Oreochromis niloticus: one gene and its partner. The protein of the gene in region 2 binds, or shares a complex with, the protein of the main gene of each other region. Links are inferred from orthologs where the notes say so. Each region holds a gene or a part of one and is shown on either strand. Other genes may lie near its edges. The genes, in order: cep63 and cep152.

What was found.
Region 1: the proteins of cep152 (region 2) and cep63 are in contact, whole or in part, in a crystal structure (PDB 6CSU), measured with the Homo sapiens proteins. The link is inferred for Oreochromis niloticus from reciprocal best matches to the Homo sapiens genes CEP152 and CEP63. Residues at the interface, in NP_001181927.1 of Homo sapiens: Gly1261, Ala1262, Glu1265, Leu1266, Gln1269, Tyr1270, Lys1272, Ala1273, Lys1276, Ile1277, Asp1280, Met1281, Tyr1284, Glu1287, Ser1288, Arg1291, Ala1292, Met1295, Ala1298, Arg1302; in NP_001340037.1 of Homo sapiens: Phe666, Glu669, Glu670, Arg673, Ile677, Arg680, Leu681, His684, Glu687, Leu688, Glu691, Ser692, Thr695, Phe699.

The regions. Positions count from the first base shown.
Region 1 is NC_031986.2:32,687,327-32,703,753, forward strand, and holds cep63 (centrosomal protein of 63 kDa), read left to right. Parts: upstream 1-7,550; 5' UTR 7,551-7,692; intron 7,693-7,746; exon of another isoform or gene 7,747-7,846; coding exon 7,847-7,887; intron 7,888-7,975; coding exon 7,976-8,153; intron 8,154-9,387; coding exon 9,388-9,483; intron 9,484-9,607; coding exon 9,608-9,697; intron 9,698-9,786; coding exon 9,787-9,900; intron 9,901-9,979; coding exon 9,980-10,129; exon of another isoform or gene 10,130-10,143; intron 10,144-10,417; coding exon 10,418-10,551; intron 10,552-11,401; coding exon 11,402-11,545; intron 11,546-11,753; coding exon 11,754-11,856; intron 11,857-11,940; coding exon 11,941-12,138; intron 12,139-13,030; coding exon 13,031-13,117; intron 13,118-13,253; coding exon 13,254-13,456; intron 13,457-13,601; coding exon 13,602-13,920; intron 13,921-14,016; coding exon 14,017-14,209; intron 14,210-15,677; coding exon 15,678-15,697; 3' UTR 15,698-15,712; downstream 15,713-16,427. Other genes in the region: im:7152348 (RING finger protein 223), read right to left, coding at 4,910-4,955, 5,039-5,143, 5,394-5,737. UniProt on the Homo sapiens protein: Required for normal spindle assembly.
Region 2 is NC_031972.2:49,856,334-49,872,424, reverse strand, and holds the start of cep152 (centrosomal protein of 152 kDa), read right to left. Parts: upstream 8,930-16,091; 5' UTR 8,389-8,929; intron 8,280-8,388; 5' UTR 8,249-8,279; coding exon 8,162-8,248; intron 7,306-8,161; exon of another isoform or gene 7,018-7,305; coding exon of another isoform or gene 6,955-7,017; intron 5,996-6,954; coding exon 5,886-5,995; intron 5,757-5,885; coding exon 5,696-5,756; intron 5,557-5,695; coding exon 5,257-5,556; intron 4,901-5,256; coding exon 4,753-4,900; intron 4,468-4,752; coding exon 4,327-4,467; intron 4,016-4,326; coding exon 3,876-4,015; intron 3,595-3,875; coding exon 3,394-3,594; intron 3,259-3,393; coding exon 3,111-3,258; intron 3,013-3,110; coding exon 2,921-3,012; intron 2,825-2,920; coding exon 2,661-2,824; intron 2,554-2,660; coding exon 2,352-2,553; intron 2,240-2,351; coding exon 2,135-2,239; intron 2,050-2,134; coding exon 1,919-2,049; intron 1,824-1,918; coding exon 1,695-1,823; intron 1,622-1,694; coding exon 1,321-1,621; intron 1,228-1,320; coding exon 970-1,227; and 4 more. Other genes in the region: galk2 (N-acetylgalactosamine kinase), read left to right, coding at 9,725-9,774, 9,854-9,942, 10,231-10,354, 10,493-10,586, 10,707-10,853, 11,064-11,162, 11,280-11,432, 11,666-11,876 and 2 more; atp8b4 (probable phospholipid-transporting ATPase IM), read right to left, coding at 15,976-16,091. UniProt on the Homo sapiens protein: Necessary for centrosome duplication; the function also seems to involve CEP63, CDK5RAP2 and WDR62 through a stepwise assembled complex at the centrosome that recruits CDK2 required for centriole duplication.

The DNA of each region.
Region 1 (16,427 bases), on a different chromosome or scaffold from region 2:
CGTGTGTGTGGGTGTAAACGTGTGCTTTCTGCATCGGCAACGTTAGAATGCAGTTACATAGAGGGCCACTGACAAGTCGCATCATCCTCGCCACATTACGGCAACTTTGGGGTCACCGTTTTCACCTGTCAGCTGCTGTTGCATTGTGTGGTATCTTGGTGTTTGTGATTATGATGCACATACAGTGTACTTACTGTAAGCGAGCAGTGGAGGATCAAAGCCCTCGCCTTGGGTCACAGAGGACAGACTAAAGTTCCCTGATGACCGGTTCTGTGTTCAAACCGACCTTTAACATTGTAAATCAGTTTTTCTTTCCTGACAACAGACTAATTTGCACATGTAGACCTTTCAGGTTAATATGAAGTTATGAGAAGCTTCATGGTAAATGTACAGTCACTTAATTCAAAGACATTTCTGATTGTCATAGAAACTGTCGTTTCGTGTTCCCACCGAGATGAGGTTTTTGTTTGGTTTTTTTGATGTTCGTAGTATGAGGATCCATTTGTGCCAAAATTATGTTCACACAAAGACACACTAAGCATTTGTCAGCTGTGTTTGCAATGCATGCAGTGCAAACAGGCTTCAAACAGAATCTTGAGGCGAATGATTGCAGTGATTCTGTCGAGCGTAACTGTGAAGCGACGTAAAAACTGCTGTCGGTATGATGGTGAAAAACCAATCATGGACTGACAGATGTTGACTCTGGCTTCTCCTAAAATAGAGATGCAGTCAGACTGTCTCTTAAACTAATATAAGATAATCCATAGTCCAGCGATGAGGTGAGGTTGCGTCTCTTTCATTTGTTTTTTTGATCAAAGTCTAGAGCAAAGTCAACTGATGATTATTCAGAGCCAAAAAGTCTGTTGAAGTTCTATAACCTCACCTGATCACTATTTTTCCATCATTTATGCCACAGACCTGTTTTTTTTTAAAGATTTTATTGTGTTACATGTCAAAATGCTCTTCCCTAAAAGCTCAGACTCACTTAGTATTTAATTCAGCTCAGGCACAGCCGACTGAGCGAGAGCCCTACGGTCAACTAGGTGTCCGTGCAGAGGAAGAAAAAGTCACAAGTTTTCCCTGGATGAAGGATCCCTAGCAGGTCCTTTTGTCTGGAGATCTCTTTTAATTTTTTTGCTTTGAAAGCACCCGAGAGTTGGTGCTCCTTTACACGCCTGTGGCTGCAGTGCAGGTTTCGAGTTTTATCGTCATATAGAGGAATGGAAAAATCATAACCAGCAATGAATGCCCTGTACAAAAACACCCCCTAGTCTGGGACTGACTCTGTTCCAGATGATGCCATGACATCATGTGTCTTTCCATTTATTTTATCCCTTGTAATAAGTATAAATCCTGTCTTGGATGAGCCTCTCATCTTTTCTTAGTGCTGCTCTGCTTGTCTCTTGGTTTTGTGAACAGACATGAAAGTTTAAAAAACGCGGCCAGTTTTTTAAAATCCAGTAAAACGAGCAGGGCGACTTTTCGGGCATGTTTTGGCCACATAGACAGCAGCCGTACAAATGTAATTTTGACACCAGTGGATCCTCATACTAGCACCTAAACTGACTGCTGCCGTTTGTATGATGCAAGGTTGCAAACGGCTCTTAAAAATGTCAGAGTCGTAGGATTACGTGGCGGTTGTGAAGTCAGTCGAGAACACTACTTTGACTTGTCTTTGAGGTGAAATCTTTCCTGCACTTTTTAAGAACATGTTTTAGATATAGAGTGACGATGTTGATGTTTTAGAAACATGGTTAAAAAATAATAATATTTACTGTGTCTTAGAGTAGAATCAAACATGTAGGAGTTGTTCACGTTTCCAAAAAAAGAACCACACAAAAAAATAAACGGGGGAGCACTCTGGTGAAAGCTAGTGAACCTTTCTAACCCACATAATGAGCCAAATAATAAGACTAGTGAGAGACGGGATTGGTCAAATATGATGGGAGATCTGGACTGGAACACAGTGTTTTGCAGGTTTTAGAACAGTTGGGTTTTAAGTTTGAATCCCTCAAAATGAAAGTCTTGTAATGTTTACTCTCTTTGTGTTGCTGCCTCGTGAGGAGGGAGGTATTTATGTTTCAAACCACAGCAAAATGATTGATCATTACACACTCACACACTCGTATTTATTCCCCTTCAATATAAAAGTCCACCTTTGTTTCGTTGTTTCCTGTTAACATTTCTCTTGAAATGGACCAAGTGATGCAGCAGATGTCTTGTTGGGGGAGGCGTTGTGTGTTTGAGGATGTGGGGGGGGAGCCCTGTGCTCTGGCTTTCCATTCACACTGTACAGAAATCTAGCATGTCTCTCCAAATGATTAATAAAGATGTCTTATTACCAAAGTCATGCACGGGACTTTTCTTAAATAAACTTTACTTCTTCTTTTCTTTCTTCCTTAGCTTTGGAGGACCAAAACTGTAAAAATCCAAAATAAATGACATAAATAGAACATTTTAATAAGATTTGTGTGGGGGGGCCTCCCAGGTGGGGGCTTTCAGGTATGTCTTACTGGTTGGAGGCCCCAGGTAGGCCTACACTGGAGATAATATCCCAGAGGAGCTGAAGGAAGTGGTCGGGGAGAAGGAGATCTGAGCCTCTCTGCTTGAATCGCTGCCCTCATGAACTTTATAAACTGCTGAAAATAAAATTAATTAAAAAATATAATTTCAAATACAATGTATTTATATATATTTTAAATAATTGCTTCCTGTTTGTATCTTTATACTATATTTAGTTCTTTTAATTTTATATTTTTTAATAGGTCATTTATGTATTTCTTTATATATTTTTAATTTGACAGTTTTGGCCATTCGTACTTAGCCAGAGAAAAACCAAAGACTGCATAAAAGATGGACATGGCTGTCATCGTTCTTGAAACAAGGACATAGAGCTGCAGTAAAGCTACCTAAAAAAAAAGAAAATAAATAAAAAAAGCTTAGTGTGTGTTGGCAGCCTAAAAAGTAATGGTACAGTAAATTAAAAATTAATGTAATTCATTTTTTGATTGTATTCTTTATACCCACTGGATAAAAGCCAGACTTTTAAAAGGTGTCTGTCTTAAATTTTGACCTTTTGAAAACTACAACACAAAAAAATATGGCACGCAATAAAAACCCTGAAATGATTGGATAACGCTAAAACTGCTGTACTGTCATGACTTTAAGCTTGCTGTTATGTGCACTCTCTCAGTGTGTAGGTCACAATAAGGAATTATTGTGTCACGTTATCATACGTGTCGTGGCATGCATGGTTTCTACTTTGACTCAGTAACAATTATCTCCAGTTTCTACTCATGACGGTTTGCTGATTTCATTGCTGTTTCCAGCTGTGATTTTGTTATAATAACCTTAATAGAAACTAAATGATGACTCTTTCTAGGCCACCTGTGCAGGTAATAATGTAGTTTTTCTATCACAAGAATGAAAGTTGATCTTTAATTTGTTTAGTTATTTCGTACTTTTCCGTACTGCAAGTGTTTGTGTGGATTCAGATACTCAAACAGGAACGTACTATTGTTTGCAATGCAGTACGGAGGAAATGATCTTACACCATGACGTTGTTGCAAAGCTTCCCCACTGGAGCTGAAAATATTTTTGTGGCTCATGGTTAAATAACCGCCTCATTAATCAGTCTGACCAAAGAAACCTGCAGATGCTTATGCGGGCCTTCAGTTTTTAGGTTGGTGTAATTTACCACAGTATTTAATTCTGATGCTAGGCCTAAATTATCCTCCAGGAAAAGTGTATTTTTATATTTTAGCATTCCAACTCCGACTGAAGTCAATTATGTGCATTATCCCACCACTGCTGAGACAATCTGGGAGTTGTTTCCTGTTCTGTTCAGCTTTAATCTTGGGGATTACCACCATCAGGCCTGCACGGAGAGCCAGTAAATACATTGCAAAACTGAAACTGGTTCGTTGCCATATACACAATCATGCGTGTGCGTGTTTGTTTGTTGCTGCCTTCCCGATACATTCCTGTCCAGCCTGCCCCCGTGGCTGCCAGCTTATTTTGAACTTGGAGGCAGCTTCCTGTTTGGCAGTAATTTAAACGTGGGAATATGGTATCCAAAGACCGAATAACACACCGCCTGCCAATATATGACTAAGAGTACGCAGGCTAACAGTTGAGACCAAACCAGTGTGACAACTAACAGATTTTCAGCTCCATCCAAACAGCACTGACCTTAATGTGACTGAGACACCAAACACATCATAGTCAACGTATCTTCTTTAAAATATGTCGGAGGGGGTTTAACATGGACATAAAGTGGAACAAAAAGAAAAGAAAGTGATGATCCAGTTTGCAGATATCATTGAACGTGGAATATGTGCCAGATGCTCGGTGAATGGAGTTTTATAATCCACTTTCATGGTTGAATGAGTCTTTTGTGGCAGGTTTTTGTTGTGCGTCTTCTCCACAAGAATAATATTCAGAAATCCCCTCCTGGCTTCACTTTTTTCACTCACTTAAATACTTCATGTGTCATAAATGGTGCATGCAGTAAAGGAGGAAAACTCATGATTCTTTCAGATGTCAATAAAACCCAATGGACACCTGTTTGAAAAATAGTTTTATTAAATACTTTATGTCCTAGCTATCATAAATACAGAAAACAATAAGTTATGATGGCTATTCAGGAGCTGAAATGGAGAGGGGACCATCTGTTCTGAGGGGGTCTAGGTCTACGGGTGTTAGCCCCTCTGGGACAGCTGAACTAAATCCCACAGCAACGGCTGGGAGAATTAATCCTAGAATAAATAATGGGGAGACGGAGCACCTTTGGCTGAGGACAAAACTGTGTCCTGACAGGATCACAAATGAATCCTCCTCCCCCAGCGACCACAGCTTCCCTTCAAAGTTGAGTCTTCTCGTCCTGAGAGCGGCCACTTGTCAGTTACTTTTAAAAAGTCTCTTCTGTTGAAAGTCTGCGCCAGGATTTCATTTCCCTTTAAGATGAAACAAAAAGAAAAATATAAGTGATCATTTTTACTAATAATCTGTAAATAAAAGCTACAAACTCAGAACGTACACATTGCTGCCAGGCACGATTCTCTCCTGGTGTTGCTTCGTCAGACTGAACCTCCTGAAGAACGTGGGCAGTTTGAGCTTCGCTCTGGCGGATCTCGAGGAAATGCTGAAAAGAGAAAAGGCTCTCGTGTCAGACTGGGCTTTGGGAAAAATGCTGTAGAGCCGAGGCGCTAATGAGAAGCTGTGTGGACAAATGGACTGCTCGGCACTAATGTGTAAAGGACTCGGTATGACAGGAATTTCATATTCAGCACTGCCTCCAAAGAGGTTTTGTTCTCATTTTCTGCCATTTAAAACATTTTCAGTCCTCAACTTCCACACTAGTAATGTTTAAAGACTCAAAATGATAAACCCACCATTCTCCTTGTAACTGTTTAGCTTCTATTCTCTCCTGTGCAGCTGTTTGCTTCTCTCCCTCCTCCTCTTCCTCTTCTTCTCTTATGTCCACATCCTCCGGTATCTGGTCCCACAGCTCGCTGTTAACCCACAGAGCTTCTCGAAGACCTCGACCTCGGCCTATGCAGGTCACCCGGCGACACAAAGGGCAGCCCACGGTGAGCAGACCGTTCCTCTCCGTTGACATCCTCTCCAGACACGAATCGCAGAAGGTGTGCCTGCAGTGGAGCACCCGGGGGATCCTCTCCTCCCGGGAGTAGGGCAACAGGCAGACGCTACAGTCGCCATCCTCACAGAGAACCATGGTCAACCCTGACAACTTGTGGACTTAAGGATTTTTCTACAAAATCTAAATTTTTAATGGGTGTGAATAGGCTTTCTGCGAGTCCAGTGTTTAGAAACAATGGTGAAGATGATGGCTCCAGCAGATCCCAAGCTCAACAAAGTGACTCCCTAATACATTAAAAAACATTTTTATTAGCTATTAGAAGCATTGTTGCATCAAATTTAATTTAAATAAACGTTAATCTGAATTATTGTAGTATTGATGTTTTTTAATCCAGACAATGAACCTGATTAGAAAGGACACCAATATACCAAAATACACTACCATCTACTATCTTATGCTGAGTTGAAAGAAAAATGTTTCAATAATAATAATAATAAAGAGTGTACTTACAGCTGGCCTTTGCGTGTAATTTATTGTCCGTCTTTGGCTGCACAGCTCAGCCTCTCTGCAGTGAATGGTGTCAGAAAGCCGGCTCGTCTGCCTCCTGTTAGGAGTGTCTGTTGGGTTTGTGGGGGCGGAACAGAAACGTCTCCAGCTCTTTCTCTTTCTCACGGCCCCATACCCACCCAGCATAACAGCTGGGGAAGCAGAGCGGAGGGGACGCTCTTTGTTCAGTGTTTGACGACAGGCAGGTGGAGAAACGGGGAAATGACGCAACGGGAGGCGGGTGTAGTCACACAGAAAAAGTAATCTAGTTAGCTTTAACATGAAAAACATTAAAAACATCCTTATGTTTCAAGATAAATTGAAAAGGTTTGATATTCTTCAGGAATAATAGAAAAGGAGGGCTCGTCCGGGATTTGAACCCGGGACCTCTCGCACCCAAAGCGAGAATCATACCCCTAGACCAACGAGCCGGTTGCAAAGAGTTCTGTGGTAGCGTTTTTATATGTTGACATATCCATGACTTGACTGTATTTAATCAACAATCATTGCGTCACTATAAGAGAATATAATCACAACCTCAATATAAGGACTAACGGATGTCAGCAAATTCCTGAAGACTATTTGGACGGAATCGACGTCAGAAATATTTTTCCTTCCAAAAATACAACTGACCACAAAGAGTAGGGACCCTACACTATTTTGTTGGTTTCTACCGTGACTGGCACAGCATATAAATCACCAGTTCTGAGACCGTCCTACTTTGGCAAACCGTCCTATACGTAGGATAATTTGACAGTGACTTCTGACAAACCGTAACCCTAACCATAACCCTAATCATAACCATAACAAATATTCACATTGGCCTAAAAAAATGAAGTAAATTTGGGGATTGCGTTGTTTCCGCATGCGCAGAAACAACGGGTAGACTGTTTCGTGTGGTAGGATGGATTCCCAGAACACCGGAACACGACCACAAGACAATTCAGAAGTGAAAACGCGCATTAGCTTGAAAACTGGTAGCAGTGCTGACCACTTACGTAGACTCCACAGTCGACTCTACAAAAATTCACTGCAGAAGTTTGAAGTAAATATGTCAACAGTCCTCCGGTACAAAAATTGGGCTCGTCCGGGATTTGAACCCGGGACCTCTCGCACCCGAAGCGAGAATCATACCCCTAGACCAACGAGCCACGTGTTCATAGGATGTCTGACAATATCCTTTAATCGTCGATAAAACCAACATGATGACATATATTATGATATCATTTGTTACAAAGCGTTAAAGGTAACAGGGAATTTCCAAACACGAACTTACATAGCTAGACGTGTGGATAACAAGTCTCTTTTGATTATTTTAAACCACTTGCTTCCTGTGCTCTGGAGTTACGTACAGCGTGTTGACATCACATGCCGGGGTGGAGTTACCGCCTTACCTCAGGAAGCGCGCTGTTCGGTTGTGCAGTGTAGTCCAGCTAGTGATGTAAACAAATAAAGTTGGATGAGTTGAAACGGACCAGCCACAGCCAGCAGCTAACGTGAGCTAACTATGCTGGAAGCAGAAACCACCTCCGTGTAGCAGTCAGGTCAGCCTTGGTTTAGCTCGCTGTGTATTATGGGTTGCTAGTAACGTTTATGGTTGCTAAGTTATAGTGAACTTCTTGCGTAGGGAAAGGGCACGTGAAGCGACCGCAAAGCCAGTCCGCTTTAAGTTACTAACAGGACTTTACTTTAAACCAGATGGAGGCTTTTCTGGGGTCGATGCACAACCCTGATCTGAGGTAACTTGCACTGCGCTTAAAGAACTAACTTGGGCAATGAGCATTTACAGAAATTACATCCTTTTCGTTATTTGGCTTTTCCTTTCAGCTCAGTCCTTTCATCGTGTGAGCCGGAGCTTCAGGAACTGATGCGACAAATTGACATCATGATCAACGATCAGAAGAGGAAGTGGGAAGATGAGACTTGTGCCTTGGAGCTCAGGCTGAAAAGTAGAGAAGAGGAACTTTTAAACTCAAGGAGCACAATTGAACGGAGGGAACTGGAGGTGAAATAGAAGAGCCTAAGAGTTTATTCTAAACAGGAGCAAAGTTCTAAAAGATAAATAATGATGTGTACACGTGTTTATCCAGTGTTGGTACTCCTCCCTCGATCCTGTTAGTGATGTTCATGGACAGGATGTCAAAGTGTAGCCGGTGTGAGGAGGTGTCCATTGTGGGAACCTCAAAATCACATCCCTGTGTTGTGCAAATTATCATATCAGCGAAACTTCAAGATATAAATATAAAAGGACATACGTATTAACATTAATGTTTATGGGACATTAACAGGTAAAAGGTGCTGCTAGGTGTGCACATATACTTTGTGGCAGAGTGCAGTGAGGTGTGTTTAGTCTTGATCAGTATGTGTGGGTCTGACCAAAGTAGATGAATTAAAGAGTCTGATAGCAGCAGACTCGCAGACAGTCAGGTTAAAAGAATCTCCAGGTTGATGAGCTTCATGCCAACTACAGATTCGGCCTTCCTGATGAGGTTATTCAATCAGTTTGCATCCAACAGATATAGTTCTTCATCACAGCATGACCATCAGCATGCACTGGAGCGGTTTGCAGCCTGGATGAGGGCCTGCACCTACAAGTCTGAGGCTATGATCTTAGTCACAAGTGAAGGGAACGTGGAGTGTGAGATGCCTGCAATCTCCTAAAGTGCGTGCTGAAATCTGGGGAATGACCTAACAAGTGTGGTGGTAGATGCAAGCAGCTGAAGTGAGTCTGGGCTTAGCGGTAGGATTAGGAGCTTGGACATCTGGAGGGAGCTCAGAGTCGAAGCACTGCTTCTCGCTCTTAAAAAGAGCAAGTTGAGGTGGCCTCTAATCAGGACACTTGCTCCCTTTTTAAGGTTTCCCAGCGGCGTTGCTTTGTCTGCTGCCGCCACAAATCAATGTCAGATGAGGGAAAGAAAAATGGATGTTGTTGATATGATTGAATCAGCCTTTATTTAAGTAAAACTAGATTTGGATTCTTTACTTTTGTTGATGATTTGACGATGACAAAATTTGTAGATTGTAAACCTGCAATTTTTGTGGGCACCAACGATGAAGTGGGGTGGTGCATCAAGGCTCAGTGTGAATAAATAAAGAGCATTTTGAGTAGAGACCAAAAATAAAAAAATATGCAGCTGGTAATGAGCATAGCCTCAATATAAGATAGTTGCTAACACAGCTCATAAATTGTGTGCTCATATTAACTCTTTCCAACACCATTACTGTACCCATGACTGTAGATTGGATTACTCCGCAAGCAGCTTGAAGATGTCCAGACTGGCCGACAAGAGTTAGCCGCCAAGTATGAGCAGCAACTGCACAAACTCCGTGAAGAGGTGTGAAAACTCGTCTGTTACAAATCTTTTCTGCTGTTGCTTGGGCAGAAGTTTACAGTTTTTCTGTTTGTACTCACTCTCCCGCATAATTTCAAATATAGTAAGTGCATTTTTTTTCCTGCAGTTGGATAAGTTAAAGAGAAGTTACCACAAGCTTCAGCGCAAACACCTCAAGGACGCTAACGCAGGAGTGAAAGAGACAGACCTCCAGAAGGTGAACCCTGATATCACCCCAGTCATGCCATTGGATTGCTGCCGTCTGCTGGGTATGTGAGGTATAATCATGCTCCCCTCTCTCTGCAGGAATATCATCAGCGCTCTCTGGAGTGGGAGCAGCACCGCACCCAGAGCCAGCAGGAGCTCACAGCCCTGGAGGCCGAGAATAAGAGCTTGAAAGATGAGCTCTCACACATAAAAGTAAGTTCAGTGACTTCAGCATGTAAAGAAAGCAGAGGCTTGTCTGTTTTATTCACCACGTGTTTTCTGTTGTTTCCAGTCCCAGTGGGCAGCGCATCAAGTGGAGAGGGAGCACAGGGATTGCTGTTTGGAGGTGCAGCGCCTGCGCTCTCAGCTGGAAAAAGCTCAGAGAAGTCTGCACACACAGGAGCTGGAACTGGAGCGTCTCCGACCACTTGAGAGTTGGCAGGTAGGTTCAGAAGCCTGGGGAAGGTGATAGGACGGAAGATTTTGAATTAAACAACACTCACAGCAAGTTTCTCCGACATGTATTAAGCCTGTAAGAAAAGTTAAATGAAAAAGTCTTTAGTCTACCGATCAACTTTATCAGTGTCGAGAAACTGAGCTTTAACATTTAATCCAGTGCCCATAAACCTCTTAATGTTGATTATTCAGTTAAGCATTTTCAAGCTCAAAGTTCCTCATAGGTGCCAGGTTAGAATATGTTTTAATCAGCTGAGGATCCGCTGTTTTGCAGGTGCTTTCTGAGGAATGGGAGGAGCTGGACTCCCAGGATGCATTTGTGCGGCGAGCCAGTCTTGAGCGCCAAAGACTCCGTAACGAAACAGCCAGATTCAACCAAGCGCTGCAAGCTAAAGATCAAGTCATTCGGTGGGTGTATGCCTAGTGATGTAGTTCAGCAACTTGTACAGAAGGGGGCGTACTGCGTCCACACTGTAGGCAGGATGTTACCTTGTAGCACTCAGGTTTATTCACCAAGCTTTCCAAGTGACTGACTCTGAAGTATTTGCAGCCAAAACGAGAGCTGATCAAATTCTTTAAATGCTAAGCAAACTGGCCATCTACCTGCAGACTGCGTCAGTTGTAGATGTAGGGAGTGTGAAAAATGTGGTATAACTGGTCTGTGGGCTACTCCTGCTTGTGCTGTTGTTGGTCTGTCAGCGACTGTTAAATACGACCCGAGTGTTGAAAACCACAACAAGTGTCCACTGCAGCCACGGTCTGTACTTTTCATACTGTAGTTTTTCTAATCTTTAATGATTGTTTCATGGTTCTCCTGTCCCTAGTGAACCAGGGAATCCACTTCCCTATTCCAAGCCAATTGTCAACCAATGAGGATTCAACAGAATCCTAGATCATCCATGTCCAGTGATATGCAGTTAGGATTTTGGAGGACTGCGTTTCATGTGTGCACAAATTACACTTTAGTCCTGTCTGTTAAGGGTTTTGGGTTTTTTTTTGCTATTCCCAGAAAAGTCTTGATCAAGTCACGAGCTAGAAGCTAAACTCAGTGTGACACTCCATAGAATATTTATTCCTGTTTATTTAAAATTACAACATCAGTAATCAAGTGATATTTTTATCCAGCCTGCATGAATCAACACATCCTTCTTAATATCTTTTCTTCATCTTCTGATGTTTTCTGTTGGGAAAAACAATTAGCTATTGTCCATCATAAAGGTTGCCATCCTGTGAGTGTTTGTGTGATGTTCTTGTGCAGCTCTCTGGAAGACTGTCTGGTAGCTCAGGGCTGCACCGGTGTGGAAATCCTCAGACGAGAGCTGGAGAAGACTGCAGCCAAGCTCCAAGGTGCCCAAGCATATCAGGGTCATCTCAAGGCTGAACTGGCATGTCTCAAAGAGAGGTAATGTTAGTCCGCCCCTTCATGTAGTCCAAAACCCAAGTTTGTTTTTTAGTCTTTTAGTCCTGTCTTGAGCTGAAGTAAATAGTGAGTGAGTGGGAATGGGGTGCGCCTGATTTATATCACCAGAAGAAAAATTAGAGACTTAATCACTTTTCAGATTCAGATCTTTTTTCTGTGCGAGTCATTGCTTTTATTTGTCTGGACTCAGGCTGCAGGTGGTGAGTAAACAGAGAGATGAAAACTTGAAGACGGAGCAAGAACTGCGAAGCCTGAAAGCTGAATGTGACTCTTCTATGGCTGAAGCGAAAAGGGTCTGTGTTTTTGTTTTTGTTTATTTTATTTTTTTTCATTCTTGTGCTTGTTGTTTAACAATCCTGCCTACGTTTGATCTACAGCTCAGAGAGGACCTTGAGCGGGCCAGGCAGACTCACAGCGGCGAAGTTGAGGGAATGAGAAAGGAGGTGTCAAAGCTGACCAGCGAGCTGCACGAACGCGACCTCGCCATCGCCAGTCTGAGCACCTCCTCGTCCAGCATCAAGCAGCAGCTTCGCGATGAGGCGGAGCGATCAGAGAAGAAGGCTGCTGAGCTCAAAGTGAGAATTCATTCTAGAGAGAGAACTAGAATGATCAGATGAGCCTCTATGAGCAGCAATCCCTTTAAAAATGGGGATAGCCGGGCTGAGCGATCAACAGCCATCCAAGGCCCCTTAAATCCTCTCCTCCTAATAACAGCAAGTTTATAAAGGATCTAGATTAATGGACTGCATGAATGCTGTACTGGGCAGGGACTGGACAGTGAAACTTGAAGCTTTTACCCAGAAAAATGGTGGACCCTTAACAAGCCGATGGTGTAACGTCCCGTCCTTTGCTGCTCTCCGTTTGTGTAATCAGCTAGAGCACAGGTGTCGAACTCCAGGCCTCGAGGGCCGGTGTCCTGCAGGTTTTAGATGTGTCCTTGATCCAACACAGCTCATACAAATTGCTAAATGACCTCCTCAGCATGTCTTGAAGTTCTCCAGAGGCCTGGTAATGAACTAATCATGTGTTGTTAAAGATGTGTTGACCCAGGGTGAGATCTAAAACCTGCAGGACACCGGCCCTCGAGGCCTGGAGTTTGACACCGCTGCTCTAGAGCCTGTTTGTTTCCCACCTAAGAAATACTGGTACATTTATATTCAACAGGAGGAGTATAACCAATCACAGAAGTTGAAAAATCTTTAACTTGTGCGAATGGATTCATCTGTGTTCACATACGCTTGCTTTCACTTTGCATTTAGTATAAACATTAAATCTTTCTAACTTGTTTTTACAGGCACTTTAATAAATAAGGCACTTACTCACAAACCTCGATTTCCTGACGGCTGGTTTGCTATTTCTTAGCATTTATTCTGTATCTCCGGCAGATTAATGCAGCCTGTTTTGTGCCAAATGTGAAATGATGTTGTATTCTTTGAGGTTCGTTACATTTTTCTCATTCTTTCACAGATGACTCAGGCACAGCTGGAGATGGTACAGGCTGAGAACCAGCACCTGAAAGGTCTGCTGCAGAGACTGCAGCCTCAGTCACCAAAGGTTTGTCTGCTTCGATATCAGTCATCACTCATGTTACAGACAGGAGCCTTTTCTTTGTGCCTCTTCTGTGCTTTTTTTCTAAGTCCGACTCACTCCTCTGTCGTTTTACCCCCCTGAATCACTCATTGCTTCACAGAGGGGGGGCTCCCAGCTTGCCTCCCTGAGGGAGAGTTATGTGTCTTCTCTGAGCAGCCTGGAGCAGGAGAATCGGCAGTTAAGGCAGACACTCGCTGAGATGCAGTCACAACTTGAGGCCTCCAATCAGAGCAGTCAGGATAAATATGAACACGCCGTGCTCAGCCATGCTGCGACTGACCGAGAGCAGCCTGCATATAACAGGTAGTGAGCATATGTACACAGACAGGCTATTTTCCAACAGTGGTCGCCTGTAAAAGAGGGAAATTTTCAGTATTTTATAAAAACTAAGATATAAAATGTTTTTCCATATTAGATTTAAATAGTTTGGGGTGTTATTTTGTCACAGGCCACAGGAGAACATGCAAGTCAGAAAAGCTCAGGCTCTAGAGAACACCACTCGCTATGAAGGAGAGATCCAGGTGCTCTTTAAAGAGCTTCAAAGCTCATCCAAGACATCCACAGATCTGTCCCGCAGCCAGTCCAACGGCAGCAGACCTCATTCATCCGCCTCCTCGTCCTCCAGCAGCAGCACCACAACAAGACTGTCCACGAGAAACTCTGTGCCAGTCCTAAGCTCCAGCAAATCTGCAGCTGATGGACAAAACTCAAGCCCAGGAGACTCTCTGACCAGCAGCGATAAAGAGATTTCTTCTCCCTCTTCAGAGGTGAGCCTCATCTAAATTAATGTCTTGTAACATTTTGTTTAGGTGGGTTTAGTTTGGGTGATGAATCCTAAAGTCGCATTTTTCTTCCCTCTTTAGGACCTTTTGTCTGCATCGCTGACAGACACAGTGGTCACTCGTTTCCTGGAGGAAGAGAACCTACGGACTGAGGAGCTGCTGCAGAGTCTGGACAGCCACATCTTCGGGATGAAGGAGAAGAACAACAAGACACTCTCCACGTTCCTGCACAGCAGCTCAGAGCTGGACTCTGCCCAGATCTCAGTGCAGGATGGTCAGTGATGCAGTCACAACAGTGCCACCTGTGTTCTTGTGCTTTATATCATCATGAATGATCGCAGATGGGTTAGTGCGTCCCTTGATTGAGTGTTTTATCACATTTATGCCACGAGTTAAACCAAGTGTTTCTTAATAACCGTCTGTAGTAAATGTTGTAGGCTGTTACACTTGAATGTGTTTATCTGTGTGCTAGAAAAAGCTGAATGTAGCTTCCAGGTCTGAAAAGTGAAGCCAGAAAGCACAAGTGCCTTGAAGCTGTATTTCTTCTAATGGCCAGCAGGGGGCGACTCCCAGAGTAGCAAAACAAATCCATTTAATTTGAAGTCTGGGAAAAATGGCCAGTGTCTCCCTTTGCCTGTGACTTCGTGTAACACTTTCCTGATAAATTTATGGGCTCAGTCTATTGCTTGAGGTCATAATGAGAACAACGTGATGTCTACTTCACAAATCGTCATCCCCTTCAGTGTCCAGAAGGCGGTTAAACTTGGTATGCTTTAAGGCATGTCTCCCTTCTGATTGACAAGATTCTGCCCTAAATCCTGCACTGCAAGATTCAGGAAGCAGGAGGAATGTGTTCGAACACCACGTAAGTCAAATGTCCAGGTAGAAGGACAAGATGATGAAGTTTGAGTAGGAGAACTTGGTTGGTCCAAACTGCTGTTTTTGTATTTTTTTTTTTTTCTTGACCTGCATATTTTATTTTATTGTCTGGAATGCAGCATCGATGGGACGTTTGCATTTCCATCCAGACAGACTCATGGTGCAGCGAGCCAAAGGAGGGTCCATCCTCCCCACACGTCTGTCATAACTTAGAAAATACCACATCGTTTACACTGTGTCCATGATGGAGGGAGAGTCAAACACACACACACACACACCATCAACACCCGTCTGTAGAGGCCCTCCAGCCCGTCGAGCGCAGGAATGCGTGCACCGTGCCAATGCTGTCATGGACCTTCATCCCCTGCGGCGTGCTTCGTCCTCATCATTAGAAAGCTGATGGAATGTTAATTTCTTCCATGTGCACCGGTGAAAAAGCTGAGGGGGGGGGGCGTGGGGACAATTTACTGCTCTCCCAGTGAAGGACGCTCTGATCGAATGGAAATAAAGTGGGAAACAAATCTCGAGAAGTATGTGTTTTTCATTTTTGCCTTCATAATGTTACAATAACAAAAGAGAAGTGATGTTCAGCTGAGCTCTCTGACTTCTCACTTTGGTATTCGTGAGCCTGCTTTACGAGCGCTTAAAGCTCCAACAAACAGCGCTCAGGAATTTGGCAAGGCAGGCATTCCTCTGGCTCTCTGCAGAGGGAGGTGAAAAGGTTTTTATATGTGCTGAGATTCCTTGAAGGGGCCTAAGTAAAAGGGAGGAGGAATTGATTTACTTATGTAATAATTCACAGAAAATAAATTCAGGCTGTAAGATGATTAGTTTAACGAACTGAAGTCTTTTCACCTTCTCAGGGTTGATGCTGGTAGTTTGATGCAACACGAGAGGACACCTACCGCCTCGAGGACTTGCTTTAAGGCAAGTCTTTGAGAAATTACTGCAAAAGCTAACTGGACTGGTGAAGTCAGCACCGCTCTGCATGACTTTGTCATTTTGCTAAAATGGTGCCAAGCATGGAAAGGAGCAACTTGGAAACCAAACACCCCTGCTGAGGGAACCTTGTGGCTAATGTAAAAGAGCCGAGGAAACATTAAAACTGTAAACGAGTGCAGCTTTTTGCAAAAAAAAAAAAAAGAGGAGGGGGGGGCAGGCATGTCAGTTCTGGTGTCTGATTGGATAACATCCTAAAAATAGGGTTATAAATTTCTATGTCTGTCTAACCTTCGCCTACCTCAGCATCTGCTCAAGAGTAATGCTTGTTTACAGTGCTGTGTTAAATCTATTGTGTAGCTTTAGGTGGACCGCCTTGACCCGGCCCAGAAGCCGTGAACAAAGAGAGACCACCATGACCACTTACTGTTTGAAAAGGAGTAGAAGGTAACAAATGATTATTGATTACTACCCTGTTTATCTCATATACAGTGGCTTGCAAAAGTATTCGGCCCCCTTGAACTTTTCCACATTTTGTCACATTACAGCCACAAACATGAATCAATTTTATTGGAATTCCACGTGAAAGACCGATACAAAGTGGTGTACACGTGAGAAGTGGAACGAAAATCATACATGATTCCAAACATTTTTTTACAAATAAATAACTGCAA
Region 2 (16,091 bases):
TCATCTCTTATCTGCTTTCCTTGCATCAGTTCCTTTTCTGCATGCTGGCATCGCCACTCCTCCTCACGAGCACTCACAGTTTGCTGAAGCTTGGCCTCCATCTGTAGGAGCAGCTCATTCTTCTGGAGATCAGCATCTTCTTTGGCTTGGTGTACAGCCTGCTCCAGCTTTTTGCCCTGCTCTTGCAGCTTGGCTTGATACACCTGCTCGCTGCGGGCCTGGATGATGGCGATCTCCTGCTGTTTGTCTCTGTTCCAGGCTGCTCTCGCTCCGGCCAGCTCAGCTTTCAATAAGGCAGCTTGCTCTCTGGTCACTTGCTCCAGCTGGCTCTGGAGGGCTGCCAGTTCCTCTTGCAGCTTCTCCATCCTTTGTGGCCCAGAGCTGTTCTCCTCCTGCTGGTTCTTGTGCTTCCTGCGCCATTGCTCTTCCGCTTCCTTCAGTGCTTGGGATACCTAAAACATTTAAATAAATATATAAACCCAGACAACAGCAGTGACACTTTTCAAATAAAAGACAAATACTCTTTCATACCTGCTGTTGGGTGTGTTTTTCTTGCAGTTGTTCCCATTTCTCCTTCTCTGTTTGTAGAGCAGCTTGATATTCTGGCAGTGAAGTCAGATCCTCAATCCAGCGATTATAGGCTCTTGTTACTGCCCCTTCAACCTGAAACAAACACAAACGCAAATTTATGTCCATTAACTGAACCAAATAATCATGTCAAAGAGGAAAAGAATGATATAAACATTTTTACATAATGGTAGAAAATAACTTTACCAAGTCTTGTGAGTAATATACAATAAAACTGAGTTTCTAAAGGCTTAAATCTCTGTACCTAAAATAGATGAAGGTGATATTAAGAGTCTGAAATGTCATATTCCATGTCATACATGCAAAACACATGCATATGTATTTTGATGACCATTAAAATGTTTAATATTGCCTTGAAATACAATAATAAAACAAACTGACTTGTTTAGCCATGTCGTCCAGGTGTTTCTCCTGCAACTCTCTCTGGACTTGTTTCCTGGCTTCCTCCACAGCTTTCCTTCTGACATTTTCAGATTCCAGTTGCAGCTGCTGTCTCTGGGCACTGAGCCTGGAGTCCAACTCCTCAGCAGAAATTGTCAGACTGACCTCATTCTCATCCGTCTGACAGCTCGTCTCAGCAGCCTTTCGATGTTCCTCTCTTGTAGCCTCCTCCAACCTCTGGGCCCAGGTCTTCTCAATCTGTATAAAAAGTACAACAGAAGAAAATAAGTCTTGTATGAAATCAATATTAGTCAAATGAGGGAGATAGGAATACACTTTTAATAGTCATACCTTTTGCAACTCCTCCTTCCATGCAGCCTCAGCGGATGCTAAATGAGAAGTCAGCTGTTGCTGGAACTCAGCCTCTTTCTCTTTGGACCAGACAGCTTTGAGCTCCATAACTGAGGCCTGATGCTGAGCCTCAAGCTCACTTCTCAGCTTCTGCATAGCTGTGCCACTCTCCTCTCTGATCAACTTCTCCTCCTTCTCTCTGCTGCGGATGCTTTCTTCAAGCAAGTCCTTCTCCTTGCAGACAGATATGTAACATTCTTGTACTGCCAGCACCTTATCATTAGCTTCAGAGAGCTGACCTCTGTGGAAAAAATAAATTAGCCACAAAAGTCTGAAAACAACTATATTTTTACCATGAGGTGCAGGAGACTTACTGTAACTGCTGAAGCTGCTGCTGCTGCTGTGTCGTCAGCCGCTCTACCTGAGCGTCGTGTTCCAGCATGAGTTCTGTTCTGACCCTGTTAACCACATCATTCCTGTACTGCTGATGAATCCGTTCAGATCTTAGCAAAAGAAGCACATATACTCACAAATACACATAACCCAGGAAATTACACATACCCCAAGAAAGAGGAGGAAGAGAAAGAGTCACTTTTACCTCTCAGCAGCTTCTTGCTTTTCTTGGTCGAGCTCCTGGATCATCTCCCTCATTTTGGTGCACAACTCAGAATTGGCAGACTTCAGTTTTTCCTCGTTTTCTTTCAGCTCCTGATTCTTCTTTTCTAGCAGCTGCAGTTTGGAGAAAACAACAGTCTTTTGTGACTTAGCCAAAAAACTAAGAACATGATAAGTCTGACGACAAACATCAACCCACCTCCACTTGTTCCTGCAAGTGTGTTTTGTCCTCCTGTAATCTCATCAACTCTTTTTGAGAGTCTCCAGTCATGTCTTGATGTTTCTTCTGGCTGGTTTCTTTCATCTGGGTAGATCAAAAATGTCTGCATCAGTCACCTAAACCTGCCCACTTTTAGTACTTTTATAAAATTAACCAAAGTTTAGAAAAGTTACAGTTTTCAGGAGTCAGCACTCACCTCAGAGTTAAGTTTTGTTTCATCTAATTCAATCTGCATTTCATTCACGCGACGCTGACACTGCTGGAGCTCCTCTTGCAGCTGGTTGATCTTCTGCCGCTTCCCCTTTAAACTACCCAGGCAGCGCTGCATCTCTACTCGTAGCAACCTTAAAGCCTCATCCTTGGGCAGCTTGGAGTCTGACAGGTGAGCCAAAGCAGTACTGACAAAACAACAGAAAAATGTGTTTCCAAAGGTTACTCTGGAGAGTTCAGCCCAAGAGGGGAAGAGATACAGATCACAATGACTGCTCTGTATTCACACTGTTACCTATTAAGCGTGCCGTTTTTCCTGTTTGTTTTCTTCAACCCCAAATCCACACAGGATTCAGACAGCTGGTTCTCCCAGTTGCTGCTTAGGTCTATCGCAATGACACCGTGCTTCACTGCAGATTCATACAGAGCGATCTGCTCCTTCAGATCAGCCATATCCTCCTTTAGGGTGAAAATGAAAAAACACAAAACGTTTGTGCAGCTTGTTCATCAGAAGTCACAGGAGTAGTTGTGCTTTAGAAAAATCTGAGGACAAACCTGTAAAACTTTGTTCATGTTCTCACTCAGGGCCTTGGCTGACAGTGCCTGCTGTAGTTTGATTTGCATTTGACTCATCTCTTGCACTGAATCTGAAAATAAAAAACATAATTAGATCGATTAAATGTGAGCAAGAATAAGGTAATGTGGGTGTCAGCTGCTCAGTAATGTTCATGTGGAGTTCACACACTTGTCTGCAGCAGCTTGGCGCATTGTTTTTGACTCTCTTCCAGACGCTGTGTGAGTGCATTCACCACTCTGGCTCTCTCCAGTTGCTCTTCTTCTCTCTGGCGTTCCAACAGCTTCACATGCTCCCGTAACGTCTGACCAATATCAAGCTGGAAGCCACAGAACAAAAAACACACTCTGACGTAACAATAATAATAATATAATCAACATTTGTCCGATGACAAAGAATGGACTTTTGGTTAACTTGTTCCATTTTCTAATACTATGTCAATAAAACTCCAGACCTGTTCATTCAAAGTCTGAGAGGTAGAGTCCAGCTTCTGTTGCAGGGCTAACAGAGCAGCCTCATGCTGCTCCTTTATGACAGCAAGGTCTCTGTCATGCTGTTCCCGCGCTCTGGACAGCGTGTCAGAACGGCGAAGCTCCAACATCTGTTGCTTCATACTGTCTACCGCAGCATCTGCAACCCTCTGTTTCTTCATGTTCTGCAAACAAAAGAAAACCTTTGCTATATACACTAAAAAGAAGCATTCTCATACAAAGGTTTCAGTCATGCATCATGTTTCAGTAAGCAGAGCTGGTTTAGACACATTTGTATACAAAATTTCATATTATATTCTTAAATCTATAAAGCTGACAAAGCTTTTGAATTCCTTAAGTGCATGTTTCTTCAATAGTTACAGTTAACTATTATTACCGTCTTAAATTTGGCGTTAAATAACTAAGAAAATAGAATGAAAACAGTGTTTGTCAGCACAGAACATACCTCGTGGTCTCTCTCAGTGAGGATCTGTACTTGCTGCTCCATTGCCTTCAGCTTGTTTTGCATTTGGACTTCTCTTTCTTTGGCTTCTTCAATCAATCGACTCGCTTCCTTTAAACTTACTGCTAGGCCGTCCTTTTCATCTATGGACAATTTTTAAAAAAAGGACCATCAGCACATCTAGCAAGCAGTGCTACATCACTAACAGCCACAAGGGGGCAGATGTTTTAACCAACTAAAGACAAACTTGCATTTACTTCTACTAGTCTCAGTGCTATAAACTGACAATCCCTCTCAAGTCATAAGTGCCCAAGGTTTTGAGTGGATTTCTATTATTACACTATACTGTTATTATTATGGTTGTAAAAAAATTTTTTTTAAAAACCCTCCATAATCATATACTGTTCAAGTACTGCAACAAAGTGAGATGTCCCTCATTTTAAGTTGAACATACCTTTGACGATTACAAATTGATGCTCGAGGTATCTCATGTTACGCCGTGAATCCTCAAGTTTTCGCTCCAAGTCTTCAATTTGCCTCTGTTGGGCTTTGTTCAAAATCTGCAGCTGGGCAAGCTGCTCCCGGTCAGCATTTTCTGAAACAAAGATAATTTTGTGTTTAATTTTAGTCATTTTTCATTGTGAAGACATTTTCAATTTAAGCAATGTCATTTTTTAAGCCACTGGCAATTCAAATTACACCTTTCTGCAGTACAGCTAGACTATGCATACAACTGGAAGAAAAAAATGCCTTGTAACGGATTAAGCTACTTGACAACAGCCATCTGCAGTCCCGAAACAGGCACACATCTCATTAAATAGTTTATATTTACATGTCAGTGTACTAGTACTATTATTTAGTCAATGAAACTAAGACTTACGTTGTGTTGAGTCAAGGAAATCTCTCTGTAGATGGTCAAACTGACCTTGCTGAGCGGCCTGTGGCTTAAACATGTTTGGCTGATGGGCAGGATGATGAGGATTGTAGCTCACCTTGTACTGATTTGCACCTCTGTCACATACTTCAGACTTTAAACATAGAAACATAGTATGATAGTAGTGAAAATGTTGCTGTATTTAAAAAACACAAATACACAAACAAAACATGCAAACATAAAAAAATAAAACTGCACAAACTACAAATTGCCAGAAAACAAGATGTTAATTTAAAATGACATTTGAGGACATTTCATACACACAAGTAATGTACGTTTCTTTTGGAATAAAATGCTGCTTTTTTAAAAAAAAAAAATACTAGAAATCCTTTCATGTTACTATTTATTCAAATGATTTGGAGGCATTAAGACTTAAAACCTTAAAGGAAAGAACAGCACAATAACAGCTAGGACCTTCTGGATGCTTTTGAAATGAAATGGTCCACTCACTTGAAATTGGTGGTTTTGCTTGTCCATGTATCCTCTTTCTCCGTTATATTCCACATGATTACTGGCACCCTGAGGGTATGGTTTAGACTCAAACTCAGTGGAAAAATCACTGGTCTCTGTCATTTTGTCTGTGCCCATGCTTGTGCATGTATAATCTGCTTGTGTGAACTGATGATCCTGGTTCCAGGTGTGAGGCAGAGGTTGACTTTGAGGGGGACTCCGATGTCCATTAATATGAGCAGCTCCATCCTTATATGCATACTCATTGTTCAACCCTTCATCATAGTGATCTTCATAGTTCTTTAGAGAGACAATAACAGAGAGTGATTCTTTCCCTTTTGAACTTTTTTTGTATGCACCATTTATGAGTTGTATTTTTTTGATGGCAAAAATATTCAAGGCCCCTAAATCTACTACTGAACATAAACTAACACTCTACCTGTGTATGAGGGGCTGGCCTTGGATGACCAGACCATTGCTGAGTCCAGCTGGACTGTGGGCTAAGTAGAGAAAGCACAACAAATGATAACTAATGTTCCAGTGACAACAAATCTGCTTGTCTTTAACCACACCCAGAGTTCTCGAAATGTGACATTACATATAGTGTCATCAGCAGCAACATGTGTTACCTGTTGCCAGTGTTTTTATTACTGCAGGCAGTGTAATCCAGCTCTGGGGAGGAGAAGTCAATGCTATCCTCAAGCATGTCATCAGGCAGGTCTGTGAGCAGCTTGTGCAGCTGCGAGAAAGGAAAAAAAAAAAGAAAGAGAGGAAATAGCACATGGAAATGAGTCACTATGGTTGCTTCGCAACTGAGTTATAAAGTAACAAAGATAGAGGAAAAAAAACACCAGAGCTAAGCAATCACTGACAGCTTAAAAGGCTGTAAAAGTCTTATGCAGTGTGTTTTTATTATTTAGCTGCAGTTTTGAGAAACACTTGTTACATTAAATATCATTACATTATGCTGTGTAGAGTTACTAAATCAAAATTATTCAGGCTATACCTAAAAACACTTTCAGAAACTTTTTGTGTTTGCATGTGAGATTTAAGGATAAACTTTGATTAAATGATTAATCACGGAAGTCTTCTATGAAGCAAAAGCTCCAAATATGCTGTAAATAAACACTGAGTATTTGCACTCTCTGACTGTATTTTGCACAGCACTGCACAGTGTAGCCCAATCTTTATATAGCAAAAAACCTTCTACTATTTAAATATTTGCATATTGTGCTCATATGGCAGTATTTGTATTTTGTGACCTAAATGGGTGAATTTAGTCCTATGTTAATCACTGGTTTAGAACCCATCCATCCGCTTCCACTTGTCCTTTTAATCAATTAACCTGTCCCCACAAACTGCATGTCTTGGGACGGTGGGAGGAAGCCGGAGTACCCGGAAGGAACACGCAAACTCCACACAGAAAGACCCTCGGCCTGATGGTGGAATTGAACTCAGGACCTTCTTGCTGTGCGGCAACAGTGCTAACCACCATGCCACCGTGCTGCCGGTTTAGAACCCATATGTGTAAATTTACTTTGAAATAAAACTGATTCTCATTAAGTCTTTCCTTGTTTAATATTTTGACACTTGCAAATAAAATGACACAAAAAAAACAAACTCCTCAGTAACAGACTAACCAAAGTTGCATAACAAACAGCCATGTGTGTTGAAACAAGCAGAGCCAGCTGGACTTACTTCCCATAAGGACCGCTGAATACTCCTCAGATCCTCCACTGTGTCCACAACCGAAGGACCCATATTATCCCACTTACACAGTCAACAAAATTTGAAAAGGCATTTCTACTTCAGCTGTGAAACCACGAGATAACCCCCAGCCTAATCTGCCTGTAGAGAAGGCCTTCTGTGTAAAACATCCAAAACGTGCCTGGCATGTTGTCGGCTCCCTGTGGTATTGTCTTGTTTGCCTCGCAAAGACCTCCATTGTTTAGACAAAACATATAGCAAAGTTAACTGGAGCAGAAACATTCCAGTTACTGCTGGCAGACATTATCCATAATGAGCTAGTGTATTATAAGTAGGTTATAGCCTAAAAAAAGAAAAAAAGAATAAATAAAAATAAATGAAATGAAATGAAAATCTATTTAATTAATACTATTTAAAGCCCATTATGCTGAGCTCTATAAGATCACCAAATGCTTCTTCGCTTTCTCTCCTGAAGCCAAGTAACCCAAATGGAAAGTGGGGAAGCCAAAGGGCTGAGCTGGTTTCAGTGTGACACACCTGGAAGGAGGCCTTTTCCTTGAGCCAATAATAGCTCAAGCTCACAGCACAACAGATTGTAGATGTGAGTAATAACAGTGAGTAACTGTGAAGCAGGCAATGCTTGTGAAATTCAAACAATGCACTTGTCAATGATTCCCCAGACAGCACTACAAACTCACAAAGAGAAATGTAAGATCAACAGTAGTAGTGAAATCTGGTAAACATACAATCACTGTACACAGTGATAGTAAATGTAAAGTAAGCTGAGATAAATAATGACTTCTTACTATTTTGTAATTTTAGCATTAGCTGGACATGTTGTTGTGTTCTTGCATGTTGAATAACATGCACAGGCTTTCTACTGTGTTGACTGATATCAGCAACTATGATGGCTGTAACCAATGAGCGATGAACAAGCAGAGTCAGCTGGCTAAATATGTTTAAACACAATTAGATGAGTCGAAAGACAAATCGTGTTTTCACAATAGGCTTTCTCAGTTAGCTAAGTGGGCACTAAATAACAGAGTAAATAAAAAATATCCATCAAATTGTTATCGTAAATATCCTAAGAAATTCAGGGTGCATGCCGAATGTGAACTCAGTCCAACAACTGGATGCACAATTATCAGACAGATGTTATCTGAATAATTCTGAAAAGCTGTAGATCTGAGTGTTGCACCTCTTGCTCTCTCGCGTAGTCCTCTTGGTCGTATTCCTCTTCATCGTGTTGGGTTTGAAGAGCAGCACTGTCAAAATCAATAGACATAATGCACACCCTCCTGGTCGTTTAGGGGATGCTAGGAAAACAGGAACAACAAAACTTAATTTATCTTTGACAGCAGTTAAAAACTCAAGTTAACTAAAATTACGCATTGATATCAGCTAGAAATATATATCAAAGCTTACCCGTTAATTAAAAGACGGCAGATCTCTCCTTTGCTGAGCTGCGTATCCCTATTATTGAGTATTAGCTTCAACTGTTAGCCATGCTGCACTTTACATTACAAAACAGTGAGGCTTATTAGCGAGCGGTAAACCCGGACATGCCAAACAAACGACCCAGCCGAGCTCTGGAAACATATGCCCAACACGTTTAACAAGACACGCAGGTTTAATGCCAAATAATAGGCCAGTTTGCGAACATTTAAGATGGAAGCTAACTTCGTAGCGAACAAAGCTAACTCCTGCTAGCCGTACCTTGTTAGACTCGCCCACTTTGAAAACTCGCGCGCGTTAGCAGCGCCAAACCACTGCGACTCTTTGAGACAGAGCGGATTTCAGAAACTGATTGCACACAGACTTACTCATTATCACAACTGACGCTAATTCACCGACACGAAAATATTAATTTAAATGCTTTTTGGCGTAACAAAACATACCAGGTGAAGCTATTTACAAGATTTCTTTTCTTGCTGAGAACCCCGGAGCTAGTTAACCCCGTGTCCATGGTAACAAAGTCGTTAGAATTATGGGTAGTGTAGTTATCGAGATTATTTGGAAATGATATATAAAATGTTATGTTTGTTGTTGTTCTTTCAGGTTGTTTTTTGTTTTTCTTTCCTCCTTTTTTATTCCTGGTCAACATGTATTAATTTTTTATGCGCAAACAAAGCCACACTTTCATGAAAAACTTCGTCATCGCTGGCATTTTTAAAAAGCAATCTGATGTTCCCATCGTGTGGTTAAACAGTGACATAGCAGCTAATTTCAAGATAACCGTAAACAGGGTTACTAAATAGATATTATAATCAGATTAGTCAAACCTGGGAATTTAATCACAAAAATGTGGCATTACATTTCTGTTATTTTAATTACCTTTTTATTTTTTTTATACCTGTTTATTTTTTTTACTGAAGTTCATTGACGTTAACATTAAAGCAAATAATTTAAAGTAGGCTACTGTAAAAAAAAAAAAAGAAACTTTGTGCATTAAATTTATGAATGACCGTTCTTATTAGTATTTGGAGTTACCCCATTCAGATTTGTGGACGTCGACTCATAAGACCCGCCCCCTTTCCGTCTATTAACTTCCGCATTTTGCCTCTGCTGCCTCAGCTGCTTCAGAGTCAGCTCTTCCTTTGTAGACAGACGCTAAACTCAGCTGAGCTCCGACCAGAGTTCAGCATTGTGGTATCCGGGAGCCTCTTGTGACAGTCAGCTGATCTAAACCCGGATATGTGAAAGCTCTGAGCTCTCCTGTCTGACAACAAGTGGACTCACAATTACTTTAAAACGGGTAGAAATGGCCACAAACCCGCCCAAGTTAAAGACAAAGATAGCTGCTAACGAGAGGTGAGAAGCAACGAGGTTACGCAGTGATTCTCAGAGTATAATATTATGATACTTAATTGCTTTTCTTGTCATTTTGCAGGATGAAAAACTTAAAAGAAACCTTTGAGTCAAAGTATGGGGAATCTCCTCTCTTCTATGCATTTGCACCTGGAAGGGTAAACCTAATAGGTAATTTCATACTTTATGTGGCATGTGTTGTAGACTGATTGCATTATTGTATATGCTCCATCTATTTTGTATCTGTTGAATAAGTACAGTGTATACCTATATAAATATCATCTGGAGATAATAGTAGTTCTGCCAGTGGGTGTTCTTAATATTTTGACCTTGTTTCAAAGTAAAACATTTGTGGTAATATTATGATTTTGTTTGCAGCTTTTATCCAGGAATTTTTTAGTGGTACCAGTCAAACACGGTCTCTCACATACATCTTTTTCATATTTGTCACATTAACAGGTGAACACATTGATTACTGTGGCTATTCTGTGCTTCCAATGGCCATCGAGCAGAATATCCTCGCAGCTGTGTCAGTGAACAATTCAGGGAAGATCCAGCTGGCCAATGCAAATCCTAAATACAAGTGAGATGTGAACCCTTATAGTGACAGCCCCAATATATATTTTTTGTTTGTGTGTTTTTGGCCTGTGTAATTTATTCAATGGTAGCTGTACATTATGAGTGTGTGTTCTCAGAAAGCTTGTTGTTTGTCATTATACAGGGATTTCAGTGTGTCGTGTTCAGAGGAAATTGCCATAGATAGAGATGATCCACAGTGGTATTATTATTTTCTCTGTGGGGTTAAAGGTATTCAGGTAAGTTTTGTGATGAGTTCTATACTTAAATTATGGAATGGCAAAAAATGAATACTATAACATGTACTAAATGCATCATAAGTGGTAACATGATACATTTAGATTTTTTTTTTCTTTCAGGAGAAGTTTGGGCTAAACCATTTAGCAGGGATGTCCTGTGTCGTAGATGGAACGATCCCTCCGAGCTCCGGCCTGTCCAGTTCTAGTGCCTTAGTTTGTTGTTCTGGCCTCGTAACAATGGAGGCAAACCAAAAGTCCCTCTCCAAGGTGAAGCTTCTTTGTAACCAAACCAAAAACATGTATTAATTTCTTTTGGTAACAGTCAAAAATGATGCTTTCAACAGGTAATGAACAATTAATCACAAAGAATATGACTCCTAATACATATTGTCTTTAATTTGTTATAATGTGAATCCTTATGAGTCAGACATTCTCCTGGATTTGTTAATTAAAGAGGAAAACTTTGTATTTCACCAGGTGGCTCTTGCGGAGATTTGTGCCAAAAGTGAGCGATACATTGGCACAGAGGGAGGAGGCATGGACCAGTCAATTTCATTCCTGGCAGAGGCAGGAACTGTATGTAGCCCGACCGCCTTTGACCTGTGTTTGACGAATATGGCACATCTAAAATACACTATTTAAACAAATAATAACTTCAATATTGCTGGCTAAACTTTTTGAATTGTCTGCCAGGCAAAGCTGATAGAGTTCCAGCCCCTGCGTGCTACCGATGTCAAACTCCCCGATGGTGCCGTGTTTGTGATTTCCAACTGCTGCGTGGAGATGAACAAAGCTGCTTCTTCTCACTACAACATCCGTGTGGTGGAGTGTCGGATCGCCACGAAGGTGCTATTTGTTGCCGTGATGCATTCCTGAAATATCTGTTATATATGTTGTTTTATTTCCTGAGTTTCAATTTAATATTGAATTTAGTTTGACTCGTGTGCTCTTTCAAAGGCAACAGAGCACAACAACCCAAGAACACAGCGATGAACAGCCTCACGCTTCGCTGTAAACTTTAAACATGTGTGATAAGTTTGTAATATTCAAAGTTAACATCACAGTGGATGTGTACTCAGATGCTGGCCCAGGCGCGGGGTGTGGACTCGAGCAGGCTGTTGAAGCTCGCTCATGTTCAGATGGAGCTGAAGGCCTCCCTGGAGGAGATGCTGGCTCTGGTGGACGAGGTGCTGCACCCCGAGCCTTACAGCCGAGAGGAGATATGCAAGGTGCTGGGCATCACCTCGGAGCAGTTTTCAACAGAGCTGCTCAGCGCTAATACTCAGGACAGTAAGTAAAACCTGTGTGGGCGCTGATAAAGCAGGAGCTCTATGTGAAGTACTCCATTAATGGAGCGCAAAAAAGCGTGTTGCTAGTTTAATTCCCCACCCCATCTTTCTAAGTCTGATATATTTTGACATTGACAGATTATTGTAGTACATTCACACTAAAATGCATCATATTTTATCAATATTGCAACTAAAATGTGGTATTTATATTTTCCTGTGCATTTTATTTAGGTGAACTAAATTTCCAACCAACCAAATACTTCTACCTGAGTGAAATGAGCTACATTTCTTTCTTTCAGAACATTTTTCTTAGTTGTAAATATATTCTAAGCAACCCTTAATATATTATTTTCTGCTGATAGTCAAGTATTTGGTTATTCCATCACATTAGATTTTTTTTTTTTTTTTTTTCATTTCCAGTCTCATGAAAACAGGTTTAAGATTAAGGTTTTTGCTGGAACACTTTTCCTGTTATTTCTCTCAGTGACACAGTTCAAGCTTCACCAGCGAGCCAAACATGTGTACGGGGAAGCTGCACGAGTCCTGCAGTTTAAGAGCGTGTGCGACTCTGAACCTGCCAATGCCACGCGGCTACTGGGAGAGCTGATGAACCAAAGCCACGCAAGCTGCAGAGACCTCTACGAGTGCAGCTGCCCTGAACTGGACCAATTAGTTGATATCTGCCTGTGAGTACTGCAAACTAAACCACTCCTGCACAGCCTGGGAGAGAAACTTGGATGTTATCCAATGAATGTTTAGAGGTATTTAGGTTCATTTACCAAAAAAAAGATCTCAATTAATAAAAATCCACAATGCAAACTATAATATAATAACTATAACTATAATCCAGTTTGCATACAGTCTCTCATGTGTCCCAGTTCTAATTATAAAAGACAATCAATTAATCAAGTGCATCAGAATAGCAGAACCAGGCTGCTACTTGCCCTCTCAGTTCCTTTGGAAGCAGTAAGGATGGACTTAGTCATTCAAGGGCTGTATGATTTCTACTCGTGTTAGCATTAGCTCTTTGCTGAATGCTTACAGTAAGTAGAACCTCACACCACTAGCATGACTGTAGATGTACATGCAACCCCTTCCTCACATCTTTCTAGAGGAATAATAGTATTAAAGTGTCAAACTTAGCACTATGTTGTCTTTTTGTTTTTTCTCATGGTTGCAGGAAGTCAGGGGCTGTGGGTTCCCGCCTGACAGGAGCAGGGTGGGGAGGCTGTGCCGTTTCCATGGTTCCCAGTGAGAAGGTGGAGTCTTTCTTACAAGCTGTTAGAGAAGAATACTACCTCCCTGATCCACGCAGAGCAGCAATAGAAAAACAAAGTCTGTTTGTATCAAAGCCAGGTGGTGGAGCTGCAATTTACCTCGAGGAGTGATCTTCATAATCCATTTCTGATTTTATACCGGTTTTTATACCGCAGTCATTCAGTTTCAGTTAAATGGGTTTCAGATGGTTTTCAGTTTCAGAAATGGGTTTTTCTTACACATGTGACTAATGATATGATGACTGATAAATTTAACTTTTTCCTCTATATAGATCACGCTGGAAAATAAGGGCCAAAGATTTGCTTCCGTGGTGCATTCAAACATGTTCTTTTTTATTATAATGAAAGATTTTGTTGAGAAGTCATTGTCTGTCTGCACATTTCTCTCATAAACAAAAAGACAGCAAATGTAAGAAAAACAGCAACAAAAACAAACTTGTGCTGTATAAAATTCATCTAAATTAAAATTTCAGACACTAACATTAAAAGGCAAAAAAAAAAAACTTCTCTCCATGTGCATTAATGGAAACGCAGAGTGTTGGGGTTGTAGTGTATTAAAGACATTCAAAAGGCTCAAATGCTGGATGTCAACTTCTGCACAGTAATATTTTTTACTTCATAAAAGAGCATTGATTGTTGGAGGCTTAGAGGTCTATGCATCATATTCCAAAGAAGTGTGTGTGTTGGGGGGGGGGGCATTTTTTAGTTTCGTAGTACATAAGAGTGGCCCCTTTTACATGTTATTCATGTAAAATGATAATAAAAATTAAGTATGAAGCAAGTAAATGGTTAAAATACAAATCCAAATAAGTTTGTGAGAGAGGCAAGAGATGGTTTGGAGATGTGGAGGAGAGAGTGGTTATTTTATAATATGAAGCTGCCAGGCAGGAGGAGAAGAGGAAGGAGGTTCATGGATGTGGTGGAGGAGGACATGCAGAGAGGTTGGTGTGACAGAGGAAGATAGGCTGAGATGGACCCCTAATGAAAGCAGTTGAAAGAAGAACACCACTATGTGAGGGTTTTCAGCTAGGGGTATATCTCATTCTTTCCTTATGAATCCATCAATGGCAAAACGCTCAAAAGCCTTTATTATATCATATTTTACCTGCCCTGTGTTTGCATCTCTTTTATGAACAATTATCTACTTCAAAAAACTGGGATGGTTTAAGTAATTTTTAAATGTAAAACTTATCCACTTCTTCGATGTATGATCAAACCTCACTTATTTTCTTATGTCTTACTCAAGCCATGCATTCCAGTTTTACTTTGTCCTTAAATATACTCAGGCCAAATCAGAGATGACATATTAAATAGAAGAGAGCTGTCTTTAACAGAAACTATTAAAGGCACAGCACAGGGCAATGGATCTCAGAGCAGTGTCATTGTGGTATGCTGTATGCCACAAACTGTAAAATGTATTAAACGTTTAAAATCTGTAATTAATTGTGCTTACCATCCTATTCAGCAGCATTACTTCAGTATTTACAATACTTATTTTTTAGCACTTTGGATGTATGTTAAGAAGAAAGTGTGTTTCAGTGCATAGTTTTTAAAGATGGTGCATTTTGTACTTGTGGCCAGGGCGATCTTCCCTTTTGTAATTTACGAGCCCGGCCCTAAAAGAGTTGGGGCATTGGGGCACTGTGTAAGATGTAAATAAAAACAAAATGCGATGATCTGCGAATCTCAAACCCACACGATAAAACCTAGAAAGCATGTCAAATGATTAAACTGAGACATTTTACTATTTGATGAGAAATATTGTTTCAATTTCAATTTGATGACAGCAACATATTTCAGAAAAGTTGGGCAACAGCTAATTAGGCTGAGTAAGATGATTGGATATGAAAAAAACTGTATACAAATTGTGGAAAATTTTCAGGATAATGTTCCTCGATGTAATATTGCAAAGACTTTGAATGTCTAATCTATACAGTACATTATATCATCAAAAGATCCAGAGAATCTGGAGAAATCTCTGTGCTCAGGGGGTGAGGCCAAAAATTCTGCCACAGAAATCACTGCACAGTTTCAGAAATCATTGTGTGAGAAGACAGTTCACTGGTCCATCGACAAATGCGAACACGATCTAGAAACGCTGCCGTCTCCTCTGGGATATATTAAACCCAAAAGTTCAGCAGCTTTAGTTCCCAGATGTTTAAGGACAGATGCTATATTGTGATAAACATGGCCATGTCCCAGCTTTTTTGAGATGTGTTGATGGCATCAAATTTAAAATCAAATGTTTTTCTTCAAATGTTTCCTGAGTTTAAACATCTGCTAAGTTTTCTGTGGTGTATTGTGAATACACTATGGGTGTGAGATTTGCAAATGATTGCCATTCTGCCGTTGTTTACATTTTATACATCGTTCTGACTTTTTTGGGAACTGCGTTTGTTTTTATTGCACAAAGGTTTGTTTTGTAACAGCTAAAAGTACTGAAACGTCTTTATTAATCAGAAGAGGCCATGCCATTATAATGGTACAAAACTAAGGTCAAACTGGATTATTTCTGAGCAACGATAAATGTTTCTTTAACTTTTGCAATTCATGCAAATATTGTCATGAAAAATAACCTATGCTGTCAGAGTGAGGGTTTGCCAATTTCTTTGTTCATTCGGGAATGGTTCCCTCGTTTAATTATGTTTTGGCTGGCATTTATAACATTCAGTGTCCGCATAACTCGCACTTTTTAAAAAAAAAACAACAACAACAAAAATAACTGAGGTACATTTGTGTAGCTGATTTGAGCAAAGATTCACTCAGAATTGTGCTTGGTCTGTAGGATCCATGCATACGGTACCCTTTACTGTATGCAGTGTCTTAAATGTCGAGTTCAGTCTGCGTGCTTTTTTTGCTTCGAGTCTGTATTGCTCTGTTGCCGCTTTTTGGTGCTCCACCTTCACTTTCAGGTGAGGCACAGGAAACTTCATTCTTCC